Linked DNA regions of Mus musculus: regions 1, 2 and 4 are each reported to be linked to region 3. The links are microRNA targets in miRTarBase. Many come from high-throughput screens and were not tested one by one. Region 3 holds a microRNA gene; each other region holds the end of a gene's coding sequence.
Evidence for each region. Region 3 holds the annotated microRNA mmu-miR-694 (CUGAAAAUGUUGCCUGAAG, at 1,053-1,071, opposite strand). A microRNA usually pairs through its seed, bases 2 to 8, with sites in the 3' UTR of a target mRNA and lowers its output. Matches are read on the target gene's strand: a 7mer-m8 pairs with bases 2 to 8, a 7mer-A1 pairs with bases 2 to 7 and ends in A, and an 8mer does both.

Region 1: the mRNA of Dpy19l2 is a reported target of mmu-miR-694. Seed matches in the 3' UTR shown: 8mer at 1,867-1,874.
Region 2: the mRNA of Plet1 is a reported target of mmu-miR-694. Seed matches in the 3' UTR shown: 7mer-A1 at 1,758-1,764.
Region 4: miRTarBase lists Sc5d as a target of mmu-miR-694. Seed matches in the 3' UTR shown: 7mer-A1 at 1,145-1,151.

Annotation. Positions count from the first base shown.
Region 1 is chr9:24,555,345-24,558,344 of GRCm38, forward strand. Dpy19l2 (dpy-19-like 2 (C. elegans)) reads right to left here. Exons shown (of 22, transcript NM_001166207.1): 22 at 1,704-2,843. The coding sequence ends at 2,693. Among named protein-coding and RNA genes, the nearest start is that of Dpy19l1, 54 kb to the left of the region's middle.
Region 2 is chr9:50,504,040-50,507,039 of GRCm38, reverse strand. It overlaps Plet1 (placenta expressed transcript 1), which reads right to left. Exons shown (of 4, transcript NM_029639.2): 4 at 1,401-2,763. The coding sequence ends at 2,495. Plet1os (placenta expressed transcript 1, opposite strand) reads left to right here and starts at 2,235. Exons shown (of 3, transcript NR_040714.2): 1 at 2,235-2,419.
Region 3 is chr18:66,218,224-66,221,375 of GRCm38, forward strand. Mir694 (microRNA 694) reads right to left here and starts at 1,110; the gene lies at 1,041-1,110. All of the region lies in intron 2 of Ccbe1 (collagen and calcium binding EGF domains 1), which reads right to left.
Region 4 is chr9:42,252,785-42,255,784 of GRCm38, reverse strand. Sc5d (sterol-C5-desaturase) reads left to right here. Exons shown (of 6, transcript NM_172769.2): 6 at 1-1,608. The coding sequence ends at 443. Among named protein-coding and RNA genes, the nearest start is that of Sc5d, 10 kb to the left of the region's middle.

The sequences.
Region 1 (3,000 bases), not on the chromosome of region 3:
GGTATGTGGATTTATTTCTGGGTCTTCAACTCTATTTCATTGATCAACCTGTCTGTTTCTGTACAAATATCTGCTATGCTCTCCGGTCGAGTCAACTGGACATGCCGAAAGGCTTAAAAGTCACTCATGAGGCAAAAGTGTTTCAAGGAAGCTCTCCTCCTGGAGTCTAGTGTTCTCTACCCATACATTAATTTTTCATTCCCGAGTTCCATTACTGTGCTAGTCTAGAGTATGGATCCACGTGCTCTCTTTCAGTACTTTCCTATTATAAGTGCTCTAACATGGCTAAAGCCTTCCGCCAGTGTTCCAACAGTCCAAGGACATCCTTGACCAAGATCAAGGGTTTAGAATTCAGCAAGATTGTAAAAGCTAACTCACTCCCTTACACAGGAATTTACCATCACTTAGGAAGAAGGAAGTTTCAGACCAAAGGAGAAACCAGAATAGATATTATAACAGAGTTACACCCATACACATGTATTTACAATGACCTAAGGGGAAGGTGGACTATACAAGAGACTAAAATAGGAACTATGGCAAGGACGCGAAGCCCTTGACCCTGGCTTCTAAGATTAGTGAATTTTAGGTGGAGCCCTTGTTGATCCCAGCTGTTATCAATGTAGTCTATCCTGGGTGGTTCCCGTTAGACCTTTTGTGTTTGCATTCCTCTGTTTTATGTAAGATTCCGGTTACCTCAATTGTACCTTGCGAATATGTCACCCAACTTCCTTATTGTCCTCTGCATAAAATGTCTGATGCTCGAGTTGTAAAATTACACTCAGATTCCACACAAACTCTCTTGTGTGTGTGTCTGTCTGTCATTCATCCACGCTTTGCCCACCCGCCGTCGAGAGACCCCGTTCCACGCAGACACAGGGACCCAGAAGGTCAGTGGCAAATATCATGCAGTTTTTATCACTTAAGACCCATATTCACTTGTTAGTGAGTATGTACCATGCATGTCCTCTTGATTCTGGCTCACCTTACTCAGGATGATTTTAGTTCTGTCCATTTGCCTGTAAAATTTATGATTTTTCTCATTTTTAGTTGCTCCTGGCCATATACCTAAAATGTTCCACCATACCACAAGGACATGTGTTCTACAATGGTCATAGCAGCTTTATTCATAATAGTTAGAAACTTGAAATAAGCCAGATGTCCCTCAACTGATGAATGGATACAGAAATTGTGGTTTATTTACACAATGGAATACTATTCAGCTATTAAAATGAGAATATCATAAATTTTGCAGGCAAATGGATGGAACTAGAATCATCCTGAGTGAGGTAAGCTAGACTCAAGAGAACATGCATGGAGCACACTCACTGACAAGTGAATATTGTCCATAAAGAATAGAATGACTATGATACACATCATAGACCCAAAGAAGTTAAATAAGAAGGTCTAAGAAAGGATGCTTGAATCACACCCAGAGGGGAAAACAAAATAGTCATAAGAGGCAGAGGGAGGGAGGGATTTGGGTGGGAGGGGGGAGGGGAAGAGGAAGAGGAAGAGGAAGAGGAATGGGAAGGCAAGATCAGATGTGGGGAGAGACAGGAGAGAAGCCTGGAGGGCTTGGAGAGTAATTGGAGCTGGTGGAGGGGAATCTGTAGGAAGTCCCAGAGACCTGGAAATAGGAGAGGACCTTTAAAATGATGTAATAGGTTTTGCACATGAAAATAATAAAATTCATAGGACAAAATTATGTACAAGGAACACTTTATTGGTTAACATAGCTCGTACCATTTTTGTTGAATTCTAATAATTACTTTAAAATATCCCTCTAGTGACATTGTCCAAAACATGTTACTTTTAAATGAGTGTTATATCTGTTCCCCTCTTTGCTCCACACAGAAAAGAAACTACTTGAAAATGTTAAAATCAACACAATTCAGCATTCTTTCTTAGCTATTTTGTGTTCAGCATCAAAATGTTTTCCAACTATAAAAGTTGGGATGTAATTGCATACCTATTGCAAGTAATTATATGTAACTAATCTATGAAATTGAATCATCTTTTATGGTTGACCAAAAACATAAGGAAAATACAAGTATAAAAAATCCAAGATGCTTAACTTGGAGCAGATGCATATCAAACATCTAGCATGTTTAAAGTTTATCATGAAAAGAAAGAGACAATTTTACTCTTTGATGGACATACTCTATCTTCAAGGTAATTACCAATTTTCAAAGCGTTTTTGATAGATAGCTTTTATTGGGAGATAAAATTTATAAAGCAATACCGTCTTCATCATAAACTAAAACTGAATGAGGCTACCACCATCATCGGATTTCTCAGAGCCTGTGCTCGTTTCCATGGCTGAGAAGGTCTGGGCTGATCCATGGGTACTAGGGAAACCTGAAACAACTCACCTAGCTGGACTGAAAAGGAATTACTTCGCTTTGGTTTCTAAAATTATATTGATATTTTCCATACACGTTCCCTTGGAACTCTAAAATGAACATCTGTTGGTGACTTAATCATTTATGAGGTAAGCTTGACAGACTGACATTCAATGCAAATAATGAAGTAATTTATCATTAGTAGTAACCAGAAAAATTTAAATAGTTTTTATCTTGCTTTAAAAGTGTCTTCTTAGTAAAGCTTGTGAATTTTATTGCTGTAAATAAGGCTGGAAGTGTTCATTTTTGATACACATCTTTCCACTACAGCAGGTTGGGACACCTTGATCTCAGTTAATCTTCAGTACTCTGTACATACTATTCTGAAACACTGTGGTAAAGTACGGCCGAGAATCCTTGAGCAGGATACTGCAGAGGGGAGGGTTAGCTGCGTTGGACGGGTCTTCCACATCCCATATTTCAAGCATGCTGCAACCAGGTCTGAAAAACAAAGCATATAGAGAAATAGTCATATTAAATAAAATCACATGTTCACATTACGAAAGAGCTCCAAAATTTCCAGAGGCTAATTAATTTAACTACTGAAACATTTAAAACCATAACTCCAGAAACCATGAAGTCCAACACCTAGAATAAG
Region 2 (3,000 bases), not on the chromosome of region 3:
TTATCAACAACAACAGCAAAGAAGAAGCAAGCAAGCAAGCAAGCAAACAAACAAACAAACACAAAAACCAGCTATCGGGCAAAAATGCTAAATTTGGCATTTAACAGAATCTTTAAGGTCACTGGTTAACTGCTAAGAAATCAGGAAAGAAAACTCTGTGGCCACACAAAGAATGCAGTCTGCAGTTATATTCAGTGGCAGCAGTCAACACCAGCAGTTGTACAACTGAGAGAATCAGGTTTCCAGAGTCAAGATACTGTAATAGTCGGAACACCCAGTTTACAACAGAAATTTACAAAGGGAAAAAACTGAAGCAGACATTGTTCCCAAGGAAGACCAGCCACTGGGCCTAAGAGGCAAAGACTTGATGTCAACATCTTAACTATGTTCAAAGTGGGGACTGAAACAGCGACAAAGACCAGAAGCCAGGAAAATGTTTCTGCACACAGAATAGAGGTGGGCAGAGAGAGATTATAGAAAGACGCCAAATAGAACTTTTGAAGCTGGAAGGTGTAACAGGTAATATATATAATATATATAATAATAATATATAATGTTGAGGTTCACCTGCAGACTTGAGGAGGCAGGACAATTGGAGAGCTTGAAGAGAGGTCAGTTGAAATGATCTAGTTTGAGGAGCAGGAAAAAAAGAAAAAAAGAAAAAAAATGGTCTCTGGGATGCAAACGCACTGACATATTTATAGTTGGAGTTTCAGAAGGAGACAGAGAAGGAAGCTGAAAGAGCAAAGAAATGTGGATTGAAAATGACCAAAGTTTATGAAAGGCAAGACTGTCTCCATTCAGAAAACAACAGACTACCAGAAAAATCAAAGACACACGCCGAGAGGCTGCGTGATCAGGGCTACAGTTGACTCTGTAGTTACTGCTTCTGCCGTGAACGATACTGTCATCATTCCACACTCCAGGAAGCAGGGGTGGCTCCCATTTCAGCCAGCTACGGGGGGACGGGGGGACGGGGGGACGGGACGGGACTCAAATCCTGGTGTACATGTGGAAACCAAGCATCTGCAGCAGGACTGTGTTCCTGCCCAGCCTCTCCCCATCTCCGCGGCCTCTCTCTCCTTTCCTGCCTCCTTCCCTCCTCCCAGGGTCTTGCTATGTATCCCTCGAACTTCCTCGAAGACCAGACTGTGCCCAAACTTCCCATTAGTCCTTTCTCCAGCCTCCAGAGAGCTGGGGCAAAGGGAGGACTGCTGTGCCCAGGTATTAGCTCTGTGCTTAGGGGTTTCAGAAGCTCTCTGACCCCTCAGACTTATCTTTAAAAGTGGACAGAATAACCAGGCGACTCTCAAGATAGCACATTTTGGTGAGGCTTGCCCGTGAGGCACACATTAAAGCAGCTAACAGACTCAGCACAGAGAAGAGACTAATGTTATGCGGGACCTTATGCACACTGTGAGCTGGTCAGACTTTTGTCAGCGTGACACAGGCCAGGGTAATCTGGGAGGAGAGAATGTAAGCAGAGGGACATTTTCTTGATTAATGATTGAGCTGGGTGGTGCTCACCCCTGGGTCCTGGACGGTATAGAAAAGGAATTATTAAAGGAAAACTTTTATTTCTTATTACAGGCTTATTGTTGGAAATAACTTTTTTTTTTTGGTTTCACGTTGTACTATAAATATTACAAGCATTTTCTTTTTTGGCCCATTTCCTGGTATAAATTATCATCAAGGAAGAAATGACCAGCTTTGACTGGACAAAACAAAACTGAGATAAATTAACCTTGCATCTGTCCTTGAAAACACACACACACACACACACACACACACACACACACACACACACACACTTTTATTCCTAGTTCTAAAAACAAAGTTAGGTAACACTTTGTATTTTATCACTCATTAAGGGTTATCTTTCAATTTAGCACATTTCGGTATTCTTGTTCAATATATTGTTTATTTGACTTAGAAAAAAAAAGTCATGTGTCCTGTCATTGGCTTCTGAGGCACAGTTTTCATATACTTCCTTCAAAACCTACCGACTGGTCTGGGCACAGTGGAAATCTGCTAGTAGCCACAGGATGATCACTCATTTCTCTTTTTCCTACAGTCACATAAGTCACATAAGTCCTTTGCAACCTGAGTAGGTTTGGCCAGAAATCTGAAATCAGTTTGAAAGTAAAGAAGGATCATTCCCTCCCCACCCCCACACCCAGGAGGCTCATGGGAATACCTTTGGCAAGAAACACAAGTTCAGATTGGCTGTCAACAGGTTAAACTGAGAGTCAGAACTTCAGGTTACACGCAGGATGGATGGACTAAGTATTTACAAGAAGCGGAATTTGTGCCCTGAAAGATCCAGGCAAGCATTTGTATCCCTCAAGTGCACTAGTGTTGCAGGTCTGTGGTCCAAGGTGGTGGAGCTGCGGACTGAGGACATAAAACCTTCATTCGGGTATGTTTAAGCACTGGCCTGAAATGAGCTCGGGAGGATGACCTGGAGGTTGGAGATCTGCTTCCCCAGTTTTCTTTAGAAGAGGAGTTTACTAATGAGAAAAACAAGCAGGATATGGAGGGCACCTGCCAGGGGGCTGCCGAGAGTGCGGATGGCCAGGCTTTTGGCTGTGGTCTTGGCTGTGGTCACGGCTGTGGTATTGGCTGTGGTATTGGCTGTGGTCACGGCTGTGGTGTTGGCTGTGTCCTTGGCTGTAGTCTTGGCTGTGTTCACAGTTGGAGTCGTGTTTATGGTCTGGCTGGTCTCAGAACTCTCAGGAATAGGGGTTGAGGCTGAGGGTTGTACTGGGGGAGAAACAAAAATCAAGGAAACAATTTATCAAGCCTCTGTTTGGAGGTGGGTGGGCCCTAGAGAAAGAGGCTAAAGACAGGCAAGATGGCTCAGCTGGTAAAGGCATTTGTCACTGAGTTCAACCTCATGTAAAAGTGGAAGAGAACTGACCTCAAAATGTTGACCTCTGACCTTCACACACGAGTCGCATATGTACACATATGTACACGTGTGAAAAAAAAATCTTTTTA
Region 3 (3,152 bases):
CACTCACCAGAATGAATCTGCACAGGCAAGCTATGCCACTAACTGATCATGTCCATGCTGAGCAAGTCTGCTGATCACCCCAGGCTTTGGCTTTCTCAGCTGTGAAGTGGGAAGGATTCTACTGATAATCACGTGTGTCTCACAGGGTGCTGTGAAGTCCCTGGTCCCCAACCTTGATAGTACAAATTGAGTTTCTCATGTTTTACTCCAGACCAATTTCATCTGACTCTTTAGGGCTGGGGCCCAAGTATCAGCTGTCAATTAAAAAAAAAAAAAAAAAAAAGCAAAAACAAAACAGAAACTTTCCGGGGCTGAAGAGATTGCTCAGTGGTTAAGAGCACTGGCTGCTCTTCCAGAGGGCAAGTATTCAATGCCCAGCTTCCACATGGCAGATCACAACTCTGATTCCAGGGGATCTGACATTCTCACACATACCACACAAAATACTAATATACATAAAATAAAAATAAATAAATCATTCTTTAAAAAAAAAATCCTCCCAAAGATTAGACTAAGCTGCTTAAGTAGGGGACTGTTGCACCACTCCAACATGACAAGGTTGACTAAAGCCAGTACAAATCATGACAGGATCACGGCTCACATGAACTGGGGGTGGGGTGGTGGGGTGGTGGGGTGGGGGAGGGGTAGAACTATTCCAAGTTGGCTTAGGTGCATGAAGCATATCGCCCCCATTCCAGCAGAATGTAGAGCATTGGTTAGCTCCTTTGATGACAAGTGGAAATTGGAAATGCTCACACAGTCTAGCCTGGGTTTCTTTGCTCAGCAGACCAGCTTTGAGCATGGTACCTTTCCGAGACCACAAGCCCAGCCCATGACTAAGCCATTATCTTCAAACTCCCTTCTTAACCCAAAGGCCATCTTCAGAGAACCAGGACAGGAAATGTGAGCCCCACAATTGCACTGAAATGGAGAGAGAATGCAATTTCCAACTGGGGAGCTACCGCTGGCCTTTGTCTGGCCAGGAGCAGGTCACAGGGCAGGGGGTGCAGTGGGGGTCGGGTATTTGTGATGAAAGCAGAAGGCAGAGACTGCTTCAGGCAACATTTTCAGCCTGGTCTTGGGTTGAAAGCGATGCCTGAGCTGGCCTTTGACTCCCAGTTGGCAGCTTTGCCGCCGGGAGCTCTTACCTTACAACAGCTGTAATTTTCAGGTTTCTCCATCTGAATGCACAGAAACACTTTTCACACCAATTACCCTAACTTGGAGATTCCTGGGGTCAGACTTGTGCTCATCACCTGCAGACTCCTCTGAACTGATGTGAGCTCAGGCGAGCAGAATACAAGGCTCACCATGCAGCTCACATACTATGTAGAATTATCAGACATGCTGGAAACTAACTGGTAAGTTATGCCTCTTCTTTGAAACAAAGATTCGAGAGTATGAATCGAGAATCTATTTTATCTTTTAAAACTAGTTTAAAAATCCAGAAGCGCTAAGGGGTGATCTAATTGTACCTAATTCAATACTAGAGTCAAATGTCTTATACTACGTGTGAATTTTATGTTGTTTTGCCTTCATGGTAAACGTCCTGGAGAGGTCAGGGAGACACAGGATATACCTGAACATAAGAAAAGCAGTTTGCAGCAAGCCCATAGACAACACCAACTTAAACAGAGAGAAACTCAAAGCAATTCTACTAAAATCAGAAAGAAAACAGCGTCGTTCACTCTCCCCATACATATTCAATATAGTACTTGTAAGTCTGAGCCACAGCAAGAAAACTACTGAAGATGAGATTAGGGGGATAAAAATTAGAATAGAAGAAGTTAATATTAATAGTATATAAGTAAATAAATATATATTCTAACCAAATATATAGTATATAATTATTTATAGATGATATAATAGTATATAAATGAATATATATTATAATTAAATATATAGTATATATTTATTTGTAGATGATATAATAGTATATAAATGAATATATATTCTAATTAAATATATAGTACATATTTATTTGTAGATGATAGAATATTACATTATCAGTGACACTAAAACTTCCACCAGGAAACTCCTATAGCTAATAAACACTCTTAGCAAAGTAGCAAGATACAAAATTAACTCACAAAGTTAGTTGTTTTCCTATACACAAATGACAAACAGATTGAGAAAGAAATCAGGAACAGCATCCTTCCCAATAGCCTCAAAAAATATAAAATATCTTGAGGGTAATTCTAACCAAGTAAGTGAAAGACTTGGATGATAAAAACTTTAAGACCCTGAAGTAGGAAACTGACTACGGTATCAGAAGATGGAAAGACCTCCCATTCTTGGTACCAGCAGGTACTTTGCATACTACTAAAGAAGTGTGAATGCCAACCCAACTACAGACCCTTTGACCCACAATGATGTCCTTCCTGCAAAATACAGTAGGGAAACGCTGGCACAAAGATTACAGGAGTATGTTAACAATATCTGACTTGACTCCAGGCTCATTCCAGGTGATAGAACCCATACATGACACTGCTCAAGTGCCCAAGAACCGGAGACTAGATAGCCCAGGGACCTAGGGGTAAACAAAATACTACTGTTCACTATAGGAACATAGCAACAAAATGTCCTAACAGCATTCTGCTATATTCATAGATCAGTGTCTTGCTCAGTTGTCAACAGAGATGTTTCTTCCTGCTGTAGATGGGAACAAAGAGAGACCCGCAGCCAGACAGTATGCAGGGAGTGAGAGAGATTAGAATGTTCCCTCCTAATTGGATTGTCCCCATCAAATCCCTCCCCTCGGGGTTCAGGGAACCCTGTGGATGAGGAGGCAGAAAGAATAGAAGACCAGGAGGGATGGAGGACACCAGTAAATCACGGTCTTTTAAGTGCATCAGGACCAACTCAGAGACTGAGACAGGGCGCACAGTCCTTCCATATCCACATCGGATGGGGTACTAAAGCTGAAAAGAGAAGTAGACCCATGACCATCCCTAACCCTGAAAATACCTCCGAATGATAACCACTCGTAAATGAGAATTTAGGTTTTCTCTCAGGGAGGCTCTTGGGAAACGAGCTTCTCTCATGGATAGCGGACGCTTAACAGTAAACGAACTCAAACGTACAGCTTTGGAGTTTCCAACTCTCATAATGCCAGATGGGAGGCTTTTTTCTTATTTATTTTTTTACCCTAC
Region 4 (3,000 bases), not on the chromosome of region 3:
CACATCATATTTGGAAGATCCCCACGCCGTTTGCAAGTCATGCTTTTCACCCTGTGGACGGCTTCCTTCAGAGTCTGCCTTACCATATATACCCCTTTGTCTTTCCACTGCACAAGGTGGTCTACTTAGGTTTATATGTCTTGGTTAATGTCTGGACAATTTCTATTCATGATGGTGATTTTCGGGTTCCCCAGATCTTAAGGCCATTTATTAACGGGTCAGCTCACCACACAGACCACCACATGTTCTTTGACTATAACTATGGACAGTATTTCACATTGTGGGATAGAATTGGAGGCTCTTTTAAACATCCTTCCTCTTTTGAAGGGAAAGGACCACATAGTTACGTGAAGAACATGACAGAAAAAGAATCTAACAGCTTTGCAGAAAACGGCTGTAAAGGCAAAAAAGTAGGCAATGGAGAGTTTACAAAGAATAAGTAGATTATTGCCCAGTTATTAACTATTTTAAATAAGAAAATAATCTACACAGTCAAGATACCTAGCAAATAAGTGGTGCCATTGGAATGTCAGCATTGCTTGAGTGTCATGCTGAGGGATGGTCCTGACAGTAAACAGCGGGAAGACACCGGGAGCATTGTAATCGCTTGGTTAATTGTCCGACATTGGTCCAGGAACAACTTGTCTTTTCAGCCGGCTGACCTGCAGCCTGTACAGCTCTGAAGCATCTTTAAATACGATAGAAAATAAGCTACTCAAGAAGCTGGTCTGTGTCCTTTTGCCTTAGTCCATGCATACTCATTAAGGAAAAAAAGTACCATTGTGCTAAACGCTACTGAGACTAACCAGGAAACCCTAACGATGAAGATGGTCCTGTCCCGGGAGCGGCTGGCTCCACCGAAGTGCTGGGGAGTTGCAGGACTTCATTCAAATAGGAATATCAGTCCAAGCAAGCTGATACGTGAGTGGCAGTGGATAGGATTTGCTTAATGGCTGATGTAATAAGATTGTACTTCCTATACAGAGGCACCTTACTCTCTGGGGCATTATCAGATTTTAATAAATGAATAAATAAATGGTATTTTTTTTAAATGTCAGCTCTTCCATAATTCAGTCTAGATAGGAGATTATTTAACTGAAGATCTTGGTGAGTGTCATTTTTTTTTCTTTTTTCTTTTTTTGGTTTTTCAAGACAGGGTTTCTCTGTGTAGCCCTGGCTGTCCTGGAACTCTGTAGACTGGGCTGGCCTCGAACTCAGAGATCTGCCTGCCCTTGCTGGGATCAGAGGTGTGCACCACCACTGCCCAGCTTGAAGTGTGTCATTTAAAACCACTGTTTAATAACCCTACAGACATGAATCTGGATAATGCTAGGTATAAACTTGTGGCACCCAGTGACATCTTTTTTTAATCAAGTGGACACACTTTTGATGTATTTCTCAGTTACAAAGCTGACTTTTTTTTAATGAAGGGAATAATTGCCAAGTACTTAAATCTACCTGAGGTACACTTTTAAACCTCATCTTCTATTTCTTCCCTCTCTTCTGCAAATGAACAAAACAAAACATAAAGGTGGTTGTTGTAAGCTAAGTATATTTGTGGAGGGAGAAGATATGTTTTTATAAAGTTATTCTAATGGCTATTTGTGCAAAAAAAAAAAACACCAATAAAAGTTGATCATAACTGCTATTATCCACTTAAATGTTATAGCACAAAACGTCCTTTGTGCATTGGGGTCACTTTGAAGGCGTAGAGGTGATGTGGGTTATAAAATCTGACAGCATCCCAGATGCTCAGAGTCACACTGCACTGTGTGCAAACATCACTCATTGCAACCGTCTCTTTCTCATTTGTTAGTTGACTTTACCAAGTGCTCTAAGGAAGTGGAAACCAGAAGGAACGAAGCTCTGTGTTAGGATCTAGGCTTCCCATTTCTTGGGTACAACCCACTAGAACCCTGGGGTTTGAATACATCAGCATCACTAAGACATGGACTGATTAGGATGTTGGATGAATCTGGCACCTAGCTCTTAGCAGTGTGCTGTGCATACAAAAGGATCCTTAAGATACACTGTTTGGTACTACATCAAGGAACGGTAAACCCCATCCCACCACCACCACCAAATGGGACATCTCCATCATCCCTAACCCCCGAAGGAAGAGGAGGCAGAGAGATTGAGAGCAGAGACCAGGGAAGATGCTGCAAGTCTCTAGACATGAGGGGGCCTTTGTGCTCGTAAGCTCACTATAGCTGTGGCTGTCGATATATGAACCAGCCAGTCAGCATTCCAGAGTGGTTGGGGTCATGGATGGGGTGTGGGGGTTGAGAGGGTCCCACCTCCAGCTGGGAGCTTTTGACAGTTGATGATTGCTTGAGAAGGGAGAGTCCGTTTGCAGTGGTGCAATCTCTAAGTTGCTTTTGCACCACTGGGTTACCTCCCAGGCCAAGGCCTGTTCTGATTGGACTCTGGCTTATAAAGTAAAAGAAGATAGGAAAATTGGAGAGGGATGAGGAGGGGTCTGGGGAAGTTTGGGTATGAGAAAGGTAGAGTGGATATGATCGAAATGCGAGGGGTGTGTATGTGTGTGTGTGTATAATAAAGAATAGCTAAATAAAATTTCAGAGGCACCTGAGCGTTTAGCCTTCAGTTTCACCTCAGGAGTCCCCAAGAGTTAGGACATGTGAGTCAGAGCAGTTGCCCTTCGCACCCTTGCTCTCTCCCACCCACGGGGGCTGAGTCGCTGCCGCCCAGTAGGATCAAGCACAAAGACGGTGGCTCCTGTTTTCTGGGTTCTGTGATGGTTGAGGTCGGTCTTCTGCTAGGCCCTCAGTAGGAGTTCGGTGGAGGAGCCTGCCCTCCCTTCATGCTGGAGGGTGAAAGACATGAAGATGAGTTACAGAAATATGTAAGTAAAATCGAAAACAAGACACTGATCACTGTGAATTATCTTGAATGGGATAAAATTGCTAGTATTTTTGTTGCTGTAGCATTCTTTTTAAAAATGTGCCATAAACAGTCTATAGTAAAATTGAGAGACAA